3 linked regions of the Arabidopsis thaliana genome follow. The protein of the gene in region 2 interacts with the protein of the main gene of each other region in a pairwise test. Each region holds a gene or a part of one and is shown on either strand. Other genes may lie near its edges.

What was found. Proteins that work in one complex are often made in the same cells at the same time.
Region 1: the proteins of PRA1.C (region 2) and ELIP1 interact in a protein complementation assay, tested with the Arabidopsis thaliana proteins (one large-scale study listed by BioGRID).
Region 3: the proteins of PRA1.C (region 2) and ABCG16 interact in a protein complementation assay, tested with the Arabidopsis thaliana proteins (one large-scale study listed by BioGRID).

The regions. Positions count from the first base shown.
Region 1 is NC_003074.8:8,083,894-8,087,698, reverse strand, and holds ELIP1 (Chlorophyll A-B binding family protein), read left to right. Parts: upstream 1-2,029; 5' UTR 2,030-2,253; coding exon 2,254-2,397; intron 2,398-2,483; coding exon 2,484-2,582; intron 2,583-2,726; coding exon 2,727-3,071; 3' UTR 3,072-3,294; downstream 3,295-3,805. Other genes in the region: AT3G22845 (emp24/gp25L/p24 family/GOLD family protein), read right to left, coding at 111-326. UniProt on the Arabidopsis thaliana protein: Prevents excess accumulation of free chlorophyll by inhibiting the entire chlorophyll biosynthesis pathway (e.g. 5-aminolevulinate synthesis and Mg-protoporphyrin IX chelatase activity), and hence prevent photooxidative stress.
Region 2 is NC_003075.7:14,532,406-14,536,063, reverse strand, and holds PRA1.C (prenylated RAB acceptor 1.C), read left to right. Parts: upstream 1-1,990; 5' UTR 1,991-2,044; coding exon 2,045-2,617; 3' UTR 2,618-3,127; downstream 3,128-3,658. Other genes in the region: ACHT2 (atypical CYS HIS rich thioredoxin 2), read left to right, coding at 1-81; EMB2752 (embryo defective 2752), read left to right, coding at 893-1,084, 1,450-1,569; AT4G29654 (Protein kinase superfamily protein), read left to right, coding at 3,610-3,638.
Region 3 is NC_003074.8:20,415,672-20,420,515, forward strand, and holds ABCG16 (ABC-2 type transporter family protein), read right to left. Parts: upstream 3,240-4,844; 5' UTR 2,882-3,239; coding exon 671-2,881; 3' UTR 512-670; downstream 1-511. Other genes in the region: AT3G55080 (SET domain-containing protein), read right to left, coding at 43-159; ABCG17 (ABC-2 type transporter family protein), read right to left, coding at 4,681-4,844.

The sequences.
Region 1 (3,805 bases), on a different chromosome or scaffold from region 2:
AAGCATGAGAAACACCAATTTCACGATAAATCAAACATTGGGATTATCGAAGGAAACGTATCAAAGTTAAGAACTTTTGGGGTAAAAAGGTAAATTGAAAGATCGCTAACCGTGAAATCCAAACCAGGATGATCGGATCCCCAGAAGATATCATGATCGACGACGACGAAGTTACCGGAAACAGTGTCGCCTTCGTAAAGGACGTACTCTTGGACACATTCTTCGTCGTTCACCGTTACAGAGAGAGATGAGATTTGATTGATTGAATTCAATAGAATTAGACCTATCAATACAAAGACATGGATCTTCGCTTGTCGTCTCTCCATCTTTTTTTTTAGATCTTCTTCGATCAAAAAAATTCAGTTTGTTTTCTCGAGAGAATTCGCCGAGTAGAGGAAGAAGAAGAAGACAAAGAGGATTTTATTGCGACTTAGATTACCAAACCGGAAATTAAAACCGGTTTATGACGACACGGGGAGATTTTATTGGTCAACGGCTTTTGGTCATTAAAGAGAGTTAGAGAAAAATATTACTAATTTTAATGTAAGTAAAATACGATCTAAATTATGATTAAATTGATAAAATTTTACTTCAAAAAGTGTTTCAGTGATGTTTGTTTTTACAAAAAATTTTTGATTTTTGTATATATATTGGTTAATGACTTAATGTACGTTTTGGAAGTTTTTTTTATCTACGCCATTGATATGTGTTAAAAAGAATTGACTGTTATGTATGCATAATAATGTCAAGGTAGTTTTTATTTATTTGGTCAATAATGTCAAAGTACTTATATTCTAAGAAATCATTATTTCCGGGAACAAAATCTAAAGAATCATATGTTTTCTTCTTTGTGTTACCATGTAAAAGTGAATCCTTCCAAATTTCCTTAGGTTGAGAATGACAATTCTTCTTTCATATGTTATCAAAGACTAAAATGATCAGAATGTCAATTTGCAGATTTGGTCAACACTACATTAGAAACGAACATATATGAGCGAAAGACATGATTTGGTTAGGGAAGCTAGAGTTGATGGGCCTAATGAGCCCTATACGGCCCGTTATGAGATACGTATGACTGTAAGAGTAAATAGTCTTTTTTTTCTTAACAGTAAATAATCTTTATCTCCATTTAATTGTAAAGTTATTGACATTTTGAAACGACCGTAAATATTACCAAAAAACTGACGGAGTTAGGATCGGCCACGTAGAAAGGGACAAAGAGAGAACAGTCACGGACTCGGCCAGACTAAGTATGGGCCTGTCTGAATCCAAACTCAGCTAAGTTCCAAAAGCATAAAGAGAGATGTGTAATGAAATGAACGTATTCTAGAAACGAAAGCAATGTTATGCTTTGTTTTTGAGCCACATGTTTTTGGGAGATGGAGAGAATCTTTTTTACGTTTTTAACCTAACCCACTTGGCACTTGGCCAAAAAAGTGAGAAGAAACTGTGGCGAATGAGTAGGCCACGCCATGGACTTTGTTCCTTGTCCTTCAAAAGTTAAATTTATGTTATGCGTGGGGACAATCTAAGCAACGTGGTTCCTTTAAATATCGCAGCTTCCTCTTTTACACTTTTGGAGCCTACGTGTTTTGTTTTGGACCGGCCAAATACACGAGTCAGTCAGTTTAGAAATAATTTGGATGTCCAAAAATCTTGGAGATCCAAATAAAATAATTAGCATGTTTTAGTTCATAAGAATATGAAATGTAGATAAACTGTCCATATTAATTTTTCCATAGAATTGGCTTTTTATCGAGGTGATGTACTTAATGACTTTGTTGATTACTACTCGTATAACAATAAAGAATATGATACTATGTGAGACTTATAATGAATTTGGTGTGTGTTAATTAATCCAGTTGAAACAGTTTAATAACAAATCAGAATAAAAATTGTAGTAAGAAAATTTGAACGCTGATCCTTCAACCTAGATAGTGAACCTTTCAAATACTATATGATTCACGTGTAATGTTTTTGACCGTTGGTTATTTTTGTGTGAACTATATTAACTTATCAATATCGAAAGGCTAAATAAGTAAATAACTAAAAGAAAGTTCAGGAAACAACTCGACCTAATGACCTATCATTTCTGATCACCCGTCCTATAAATACATACGTAAGATCATTCGTTACTCATATCAAGCTTCTACACACGATCTAGCTTAAAGTTCTGTAACCTAAGCGATAATCACTTAGCTACTCCAAGTTTCTTCTTAATTTCTCTCACACTAGTAGTTCTAAGCTTTAGAAATGGCAACAGCATCGTTCAACATGCAATCAGTCTTCGCCGGTGGATTAACCACTCGCAAGATCAACACCAACAAGCTTTTCTCCGCCGGTAGCTTCCCTAACCTCAAGAGGAATTATCCGGTGGGAGTGAGATGCATGGCTGAGGTACGTTATTCTCCACTTCCCTGATACAACGGCCATTCATCATGTGACTATGAAATCCTGACCGTCTGATTATTTGACTTTTTCAGGGAGGACCCACGAATGAAGACTCTTCACCAGCACCATCTACCTCGGCCGCTCAGCCGTTGCCGAAGTCACCATCTCCTCCTCCTCCTATGAAACCTAAGGTATAATTTTAGAAGTTTTGATAAACAAGAATTTGTATTTTAATTAATCGGGTCTTAGATATTAAGAACATACAATCTTGAAAATTCATTAAACAAGCTTTATTTGTGAATCTTTGTTAATAACTTTTGGGGTGGTGAATATAGGTGAGCACAAAGTTTAGCGACTTGCTAGCGTTTAGCGGTCCAGCACCAGAGAGGATTAACGGACGTTTAGCGATGGTTGGATTCGTTGCGGCGTTGGCTGTCGAGCTATCCAAGGGTGAAAACGTTTTAGCTCAGATCTCCGACGGTGGCGTCTCATGGTTCCTCGGTACAACAGCGATCTTGACACTTGCGTCGCTTGTGCCGCTTTTCAAGGGCATAAGCGTTGAGTCCAAGTCCAAAGGTATCATGACGTCAGACGCTGAGCTTTGGAACGGACGTTTCGCGATGCTCGGTTTGGTCGCGTTGGCGTTCACTGAGTTCGTCAAAGGTGGGACACTCGTCTAAGGAAAAGAGAGCACGTTATGGGGAGGATGTTTTAATACGATTTTGCCCATGTAATTTCTCTGTAAAGTAATCTGTGTTAGGCCTACTGTGTGTTTTATACATGTGTACTAAGTGACATTTTGAAACTTCGGGTTAAAAACACTTTAAAATTAGTGGTGTTCTATAAAGCTCTACGCCTTCCAAAAACTTTCAGAAATTATAACCATACAATATGTGACTTACAAGGCCAAATTATATTAATGGCCTGTCATCATAATTGCGAACCTAACAAATAACAATACACGATTTCACCTACTATCGAGTTTTACATTTAATGCTCATCTTATAAAAAGAAAAAAAGAAAAAAAATGTTAAGAAAATTCACATCTTTCATTTGCCGACGAAACAAGTGGTGAGTGATCCACTATAGATGATATATAATTCGAACAAATGGTGGATTCAGAAAAGTCTTAGTTAAAAATAAAATCAATATCATTAAGCGTAACTACTAAAATAAAAATACACAAAATATCAAAGAATCTTCAAACTGAATGAATCTCAAATCTTAATGCTGGGGAAGATAATAAATTTACCAACTCTAATTGCCATTTGAATAGATCATATACCGATAGATCTTATATATGTTTAGACATCACTTAAATATCAAGCAAAAAAAAAATTAGTGTATGAAAATCTAAGAATATTTTATCCTGAATACATAAAAAAAAAGGTATATGTAAACACAAACATAATTT
Region 2 (3,658 bases):
CAACTAGAGCTTGGCATAACGCTTCAAACAAAGAGAACTACTTCGTTGTTCTTTTTCGATAGGATCTATCAAATATTATAGACCCTTTGCTGATATTGATACCAAAACCGGTTGAATGCATTTGGTCTGTCTCTGATTACTATTTGACATCCTCTTCTTTTGAATATTTGTGTGTATTCAGTTTCAGAAGATAAAAGATGCAATCCAACTGCACAATACCGATCGTTGCAGCCTCGGTCCAGCCAAGGTACCTGAAGGCTTAACATTAGCCAAACCAGCTGCATCAAGTTGAAGTGCCAGATTTTTAGATATATTACTAAGGCAACAATCTTTGGTTGCTCAAGCAAATACTCAGCTTAAAATTCTGTATATCGTCATATTTTTGGGTGTAAAAGAATACTTCCTAAAGCCAGTTACGATTCTTCTGCTAATAGTCAATTGCAAATGTATTTTCACTACTGCTGTTCTTTATTGCTTTAAAGCAAGCTTATTGATGAAGTCATGTGAGGTTGCATAAGTCTCATTTCCATAGTTTTGGGGTAAATTTATAACTTTCTCAACTTACCGAACGATAGTGAAAAACAAATACATAGCACAATGGTTACAATAATCATGTGTTGTGATTACAATTTACAAATTTACAAGAATCATATCAAATAAGATTTTTTAAAAATTTACAAATGTGAGCTCAAGACTTTTAAGTGTTAAAGATAAGTTAAGGGCTGAAAACTAAAACATGTAGGAATAAGAGGACTGTTTGGTAAACGTTTTAACGTTTAAAGTCTTGCCTTTTGATATCAGATTTTTCTCAGGTTCCCACGCGCCGCCGCGAAACAGCTAGACGGAGAAATCCAAAATTCGGCGAAGGTTTGAGAAGAGAGAAATCTGAGAGATGCAAGGAGTGTGGAGCCAACTATGGAGGAAATATGCTGATTATAAGTACAATAAGTTCGAGAGATTTGCTGTTTGGGAAATGATCGAACCTTACCGTCGACCAAAAACCTTCACAACTTTGATTACTATCTATGTCGCCGCCTTTTACACCGGCGTCATCGGCGCTGCAGTTACAGAGCAGCTCTACAAGGTCAGCTTCGTATTGTTATCGATTCAGGCCCGGAATTGCTATTAGATTTGTGGGTTCTAATTTGATTCTCGTGATTGGTAAATGTTAGGGTTCGAAATGTGATAAAATTGGAAATGATTCATTGTTGATTACTAATAAAGGATTGTGTGATCATGAAAAGAACTATACTTGAATTGCTTTTCATGGGAATGGTTCATTAGGTCTTTCAATGAAGCTTTTACGTCTTGATTAGTATCTAATCTAATTCATTGTTCTGTAGTATATTGTATTCTTTGTCAATGTGTTTCTTACACTGTTTTGTGTTAGTATCAGTTATGTTTCTTGTTTGAGTGTGAACTTTATGTTACTCCACTCTCTGTAAACAGGAGAAGTTTTGGGAAGAGCACCCAGGGAAAACAGTGCCTCTGATGAAGCCAGTATTCTATCGAGGACCATGGAGAGTTTATCGTGGTGAGGCTATTGCTTCAGATGCTAGCAGCCAGTGAAGCTAACGATTAGGCTATCAGAGACTATGGTGAAGGATGTATCTCCGACTTTGATACGCAGATATAAATGGATTTATACTGGTTCACTAGTATATGTATATCAAAAAACTTCTTTTGGTTCAGTAGAATGTTTGTGTCTGTATTTCGAGTCTAATGACTCTCTTAAGAATCTATTTTCTAGAAATTACATGTAATGACAGTCTCGTTATAGTATAAGGATTTGATTTGAGAAGTTTAAGGGTATCCATTCATTCCTTTGAATATCTCTGCTTGTATCTGCCTCTCTTCTGGTGTCCTGAAATAAAACATTCCCAAATAAGATAGATGATCTAACTACCTCAGAAACATTGAGCCAACACAGATTTTTCTCTTCAAATTAGGTTGCTTCACATTCTTTAGTCCATATAGATTCCTCTGGGGACGTACTCTGTTTCTTTCCTTCCTTTTTTTTTTTGTTTGTTGCTTGTGAAAGAATATGACAACCTATGGCACTATACCATCCCAAGAAAATGCTTCGTCGAGCCTGAGCTTATTAGGACGAGCCAAAGAATTGATCTCGTTAGGTCTTAGCTCTCAAAGGCCATGGCTTGAACTTGTCCAATGTAGTGCCTTTAGCCTTCCTATCTCCTTTAGCGTTGCCACTGAACGAATCAAATCCAACATCATGATCTTTCGAACCAACTACATTGTTATCTTCATTGTTAGTATCTTCATCAGCATGCTTTGGCAACCCGTCCACCTTTCCGTCTTTGTTATCTTGATAGTAGCATGGCTATATGTCTACTCCCGTGATAATGAACCATGGGTGATATTTGGCAGTGTGATCGATGATTCTACTTTGGTGCTGGTTTTGTTGGTCCTCACGATCGGTATATTTCTACTAACAGATGTATCCCGCGGTATTGTGATCGGGGTTTTGGCTGGTTTGCCCGTTGTTCTGGTTCATGGCATGTGTAGGAGGAATACAGAGATGTTGTTCGTCTTGGAAGATGATGAAGAGAAAGTGGCAATGAACACATCATCTTCGTCACTTTCTTCTTCCTCTTAAGTCTTCACAATTGAGCACAAGATTTTCAGTTTTTCTTTCCTGAATTTGTCTACATAGTTCAAAACAACGCATATCCAGTGAAGGAACGTTAACATGCTGCAAAAAGAACTTGAGCTCTTTTGCGATCAAAATTCAGGATGTGGATATTGATGTACTGATGCATGTCAGAGACCTTGGTGACAAATAAAAGGCAATTTTGCGTGCTGATTAAAAACATTATCCTATGATAGAATTCCTATCTAATTATCTCCAACAAGCCAATACAATAACGAAGACAAGTGTGATCCTCTTCTCAGTTATCACTTATTACAAATTATCCAATCGATTCTCTCATTTTCAACAATTACGAATTGAAAGGTTGTAACTTTATATGAACAATGATCTAGTTTTTAATTTTATCACAACAATTATCAAGTTCAAATGCAATAGGGATTTGGCTATATATACCATTTTACTTTTTAGACACGACATGAAGAAGTAGTTAGACCATCTCCAACAAAGAGAACCCCAAAAAATTCTCAAATAAAAAAAATATTAATATTTTACTATAATTTGATTATACAATTAAATTTTTATTTTAGTAAAAAAATTAGATAATTGTAAAAGAGATAAGTGTTTAAAAGGAACTCTCTAAAATATCTGAGGTGGTTTAGACGTCTCGCTAATATCAACCGGCCTAGTCCCAGAGTGAATACAATATTTTTACATTTGGTAAATGTTAAGCAAAACCAACTAAGACTTATTCCTAATAAACATATTTAATTTATTTATTTCAAAGAGATAATTACATAGGTTTATATTGTCTATGAAGAATTATTTTGTTTATAATTTTTTTAATATGTTATAGTGTTCTAGAATTACCAAAATATAAAGTTTGTTAATCATGTTTAATTTAAAGCAAAAAAAGAAGATAAAACATAAGAAAAACAAAAGCAAACTACAAGCAAAATATATATAAATTTTCAAGATTTCTCCTTATTCCTCCAAACTCTATGCATTTTAAAATAGTTGGTTTGAGGATGTATTGTTTATTATTTCGTT
Region 3 (4,844 bases), on a different chromosome or scaffold from region 2:
TTCACAAATTTCACGAAAGTCTCAATCTTTCACAAATCAAACCTGAGTTTGGAGCTCTAACGTTAGTTTCCCGGCGAGACTGAAACGCTTGGCTAAAGAGCTAACATTGCGCCTTTGTTGAAACCCGAAAAGCTTCACTGTCGAAATGCAGAATAGCATCTCCAGCCAAACTGGATGGCGCGTGAGCAACCACCGCTCGTATTATGGACTCGTGTTTCGACTGCGGCTAGAGCAGAGCGGCCAGGACCAGACGATATTCTGATGCTGATTCGGTCCGGTTTGTTTCGGTTTTAAATTTCAGATAAATCGGTTTGTTTTTAATTGATTTTGTAGATAGCCTTCCAATTTTGACTTTTTGATACCTTACAAAGTGAAATGGCTTTGAGAGTTACTTGCCTCTAGCAACAGTGTCTGTGTCTCCTCATTTTTCTTCCACAATCTCAATGCCTCTATTTGAAATGTTGCATTAATTTTCTGAGTAAAAGCGATTCATAGGTGCTTTTTGTATTTCCAATTTCCTAAAGAATGATATTTTTTTTATTGATGGCAAAAGTAATACAAATGTTAAAAAGAATACAATTCAAATACACAATCAATCTACGAATTACAAGTAATGAAAAAGAATTACAATATATGTTTTTGGTTTTAGGTATCATCAGTAGTTTCAGTTTCACCTCCTCTTGTTTTTGCTCCCAAGCAACAAACACAAGTAAAACAAAATCCTAAATAGGAATCCGAAACCTACCGTGATAAGCAAGCAGTTCCATTTACTAAGCTGTGTCACTCCTTGCTGCTTCAGAACATCAGCACCCGTCGTTAAACACGTAGAGCTCGATATCCTCATACCTATCGACCGGCTCACAGAATCCAAAAGCCTCAGCTTCATCCCATACGTCAATTCTCCCAAAGGCGAGTTGTCGAAAAGCTGAACACCTCTCACAAAACATTCTGTAGGATCCGAGAACTCGTTCTGAAGAACCGCCTCGTATGGATACTTAACCAGAGAAAGATAATGAAACCAAATCCAATACTGAGGGATTCGATCTCTGTTGATGAAGAAGCCACTGAAAAGCAAGAAGTAAGCTAAAATAGCAACAACGATCGTGTAGCCTAACATCACATGTGGAACGACGCCGGATAAGAAAGTCACGAAGGAGCTTCCGGACCAGAAAGAGGCTAAGATGATTAAGCAGTAGAATAAAAAGCCCATTAGGCCTCCTTCAAGCCCAACAGCCCAAAACGTCGTCACTGCGAAAGCTAAAGAGAGGAAGATGAGCGAAGGGAAGGTAACAATGGCGTGAGAGAGAACGTAGGAGGATCTCCGGTAAGCGTTGTAAGCTGTTTCTCTCATGAAGATGTAACGTTCCTGGAGGAACACGGGAAGAGCATCGGCGCAAGTGTAGAACATTGTTGACATTGCGAATGCGAAGAACCCTAACCGCTCTTGAACTCCTTTTGGTGAATTATCCAATCGCCAGAATACGGTGGCTAAGATGAATCCGGTGACGATTACGGTGGCTAATCGCATTCCGAGTAGCTCCGGTTGTCGTCGGGAGTTGAGGATTGAGCGTCTGGTGAGAGTTTTGATTTCGATCCAGAACGGATTCGCGAATGCAGGGACGGCTAAGGTTCCGCCACCGTGGTTTATGACGGAGGAACCACCGCCGCCACCGGAGACTAGTTTTCCTCTGCTTATGCTGGCGGAAATCGCTTCTTTCAAGGTTAAATTTGGGTTTGGAGAAGCCGGCGGAGTTAGGGTTTGAGGATTGCTCTGTTTCTTCATCTCTTGCCATTTCTTGTTGAATTCAACTAATCCTCTTGTTCCTCCAGCTGATCCTTCGAGTTCTCTGATTAGATCGAGTGCAAACTCCGTTTGATTCTCGTTTTCCGGTATCGGATTACCGAACCCGGCGAAAAAGCTCGGTAGACTCGCCGGAGAACCACTAAAGACGGTGTGTCCACGTGACAAGAAGATAAGACGATCAAGTAAACTGAGAACTCTGTGACTTGGCTGATGTATTGACATTATAATGATACTGCCACTCTCTGCGATTCTCTTCAATACTTTAACCACCATGAAAGCACTTGTGGAATCTAAACCAGAAGTAGGTTCGTCGAGGAAGAGAACAATCGGGTCGTGGATGATATCGATTCCGATCGAAACTCGCCTTCTTTCTCCACCGGAGATTCCACGGTGTCCTTCGTCTCCAATGATTGTTTTAGCAGCGTTTCTTATCCCTAACTGGTCGATTAGGGCTTGAACTCGAAGCTTCTTCTTGGATTTAGGTAAGCTTCTTGGTAATCGAAACTCAGCTGCAAACATTAAGGTTTCTTCCACAGTAAGCATCGGGAAGAGAAGATCGTCTTGCATTACATAAGCTGAGATAACTTTCAGCATCCGAGATTGAAGAGCTTCTCCGTTAAGCGTTACCGTGCCCTTCAAGCTTCCTTTAGCGATCCGATTCGCTAAAGCGTCGATCAAAGTGGATTTACCTGACCCGCTAGCTCCAAGAACGGCAAGAATCTCTCCGTCACGAGTCTCACCGGAGATATTGTCTAGAAGAGTCTTGGTCTTGGAGAAAGATGTCCTCCTCCATGGAACCAGGTCGTGAAAGTCAAGTTTCCGGCGAACAGAGACGTTGTAAGTAAGGTTGTTGAAAGATAGAACGAAAGGAACAGGACGCATAAGATGATCATTATCTCCGTCAAGTGAAGAACCATCCCTGTCAAAGAATTCATGAACAGGAGTTTCGTCACCAACTTCAACCTTACGAACGTCGCTAACGTTCTTGAGAAGTTGGCCTAAAGTCAAAGATGAGCTAATAATCTCCATGGAATGAAACGGTGTTGCATTATCATCTTCTACTAGTATGCGAGACATTTAGAACAAAAGATGGTAAAGTGAGAAATGATGTGCTTACACTTGAAAATCAAAACACTCTTTGCATGATCAAAATGTTAGTCTTTGTTCTCTGTTTTGCTAGTATCTGTGTATAGGCCTTATATATATGAAGTAACGTGTGGAAGCGTGTGAACACGAAGGTTCTATGTGTTGAATGAGTTGCATCATCATGAGAAATCTGTTAGGTTTGTGTTGTTAACAATAATATTCTTAGCGTTTGGATGGAAAATGCGTTTTGGATTTCTCGTATTCAATTAGGGAGAGGTAATGGGATGACCAATAAATCTAGATTTTCCAAGGTGATAATACTAAAATACGTAGAAATGGCTGACACGTGGCGATTAGAATGGAGAATTAGGTGAAGGGTGTTGATCTAACCGAGGTATAGATAGTATATAGGATTGAGATGAGATATTTCTTGCGTTTCACATAGTGTTTGGTCAATTAATTAATGTTTTTAAAAGATTCTTCGAATGTTGGTAGCGATATAGTGATTGTTTGTATCGCAAGCAAATGTGTACCTAGATAAACTATTCACATTTTCTTTTGTTTTCGCGACCGAAGACGATTGCTTATGCTGCTAACTGCCTAAAAGTTGCAAATTGCAATAATTCCGGAACCCCAACTAATTCTACCAAATATAATATAAAAGTTATATTTGATAAAGTAGCTAGATTTGTATTTAGTTTGGGAATATAAACTCCTGTTTTTGCTATGAAAGACTACACACAATCTCCAAGTTCATTTTTTCTATTTCTTGATTATTTAGTTGGTAACGGTGGAACATTCTTTACCAAACTCAAATATTGTGTTTGGTCTTTGTTTCCTCTGTTTTATTCACAGTATACAGAAGCTGATAAAACATTCTTTTTGTTTTGTAAAGGGTGGAGTGGTGGTTTAAGAGAAATATAATAAAAATCGTCAAGTTTGTTGCTAAAATTAAACATGCATGCGAAAATTACACGAGAATCATAAAGATGGTGTCACATTTCAAATACTATTTGTTAAGAAAGTAAAAATAGTGATGTCTTTGATCCATCCAGGGAAAGAAGAAACAGATCAAAAGGTTAGGCAACTTCCTCTTAAGTAGTACTTGGTCAAACTTCTAGTGATGGACACAATGGTAACATGAAAGCAAAATTGACGTACTGGCTTAGCTTCTTGGATTTCCAATCCTAAACTTTGACTTCACTGTTACATCTTTTTGGTTGACATTTTGAAGTTTAGGTGACTAACTTCTACCTACTGTAGTCTTCCTTACCGCCATAAGAAAAGGGTCAAAGATTTATAATACCATCTAATAAAGCTTATAAGAAAGTTGGCTACTTTGAATTCTATTTTCGACCAACTGTTTAGTTGTATATACTTTTGTTTTTAAAAAGTGATGCAATTTGAATTTTGTCAAATACGTTATGTTTACACCGACCACGAAAGATGGCATATAGCTCACACGCACATTAAAACTACTAAATTACTTCACTGGTAGCTTGTGGTATCTTTATATTAGTTTGAACTTTAAACTATTGATGTAGTTCATATTGTTAAGTTAAAAACATTACCAATTGTGAATTAAACTAAAATCTTAGTCCTTTATAAAATTGTGAACCTAACATCATGTAAAATGTTAGATGTACGATTCTTTCTTTAGACAATATATGATAGCTATGAAAGAAAAAAATAATAATTATACAACATATATCATCAATATCTCAAATTCAAAAAGACAATTTTGCTTTCACAATAAAATTTCTGTTTCGGAAAAATTTACATTATGGCGTTCACGCCCTCTTATTCTTGCTTCCAAGCAACAACGAAAAATAAAACAAGATCCTAAAGAAGAATCCCCAAGCTAACGTTACCCACAAGCAACCCCATTTATCCAGCTGCTCAATTCCATGCTGCTTAAGCAAATCAGAGCCCGTCGTCAAACACGTTGATTCCG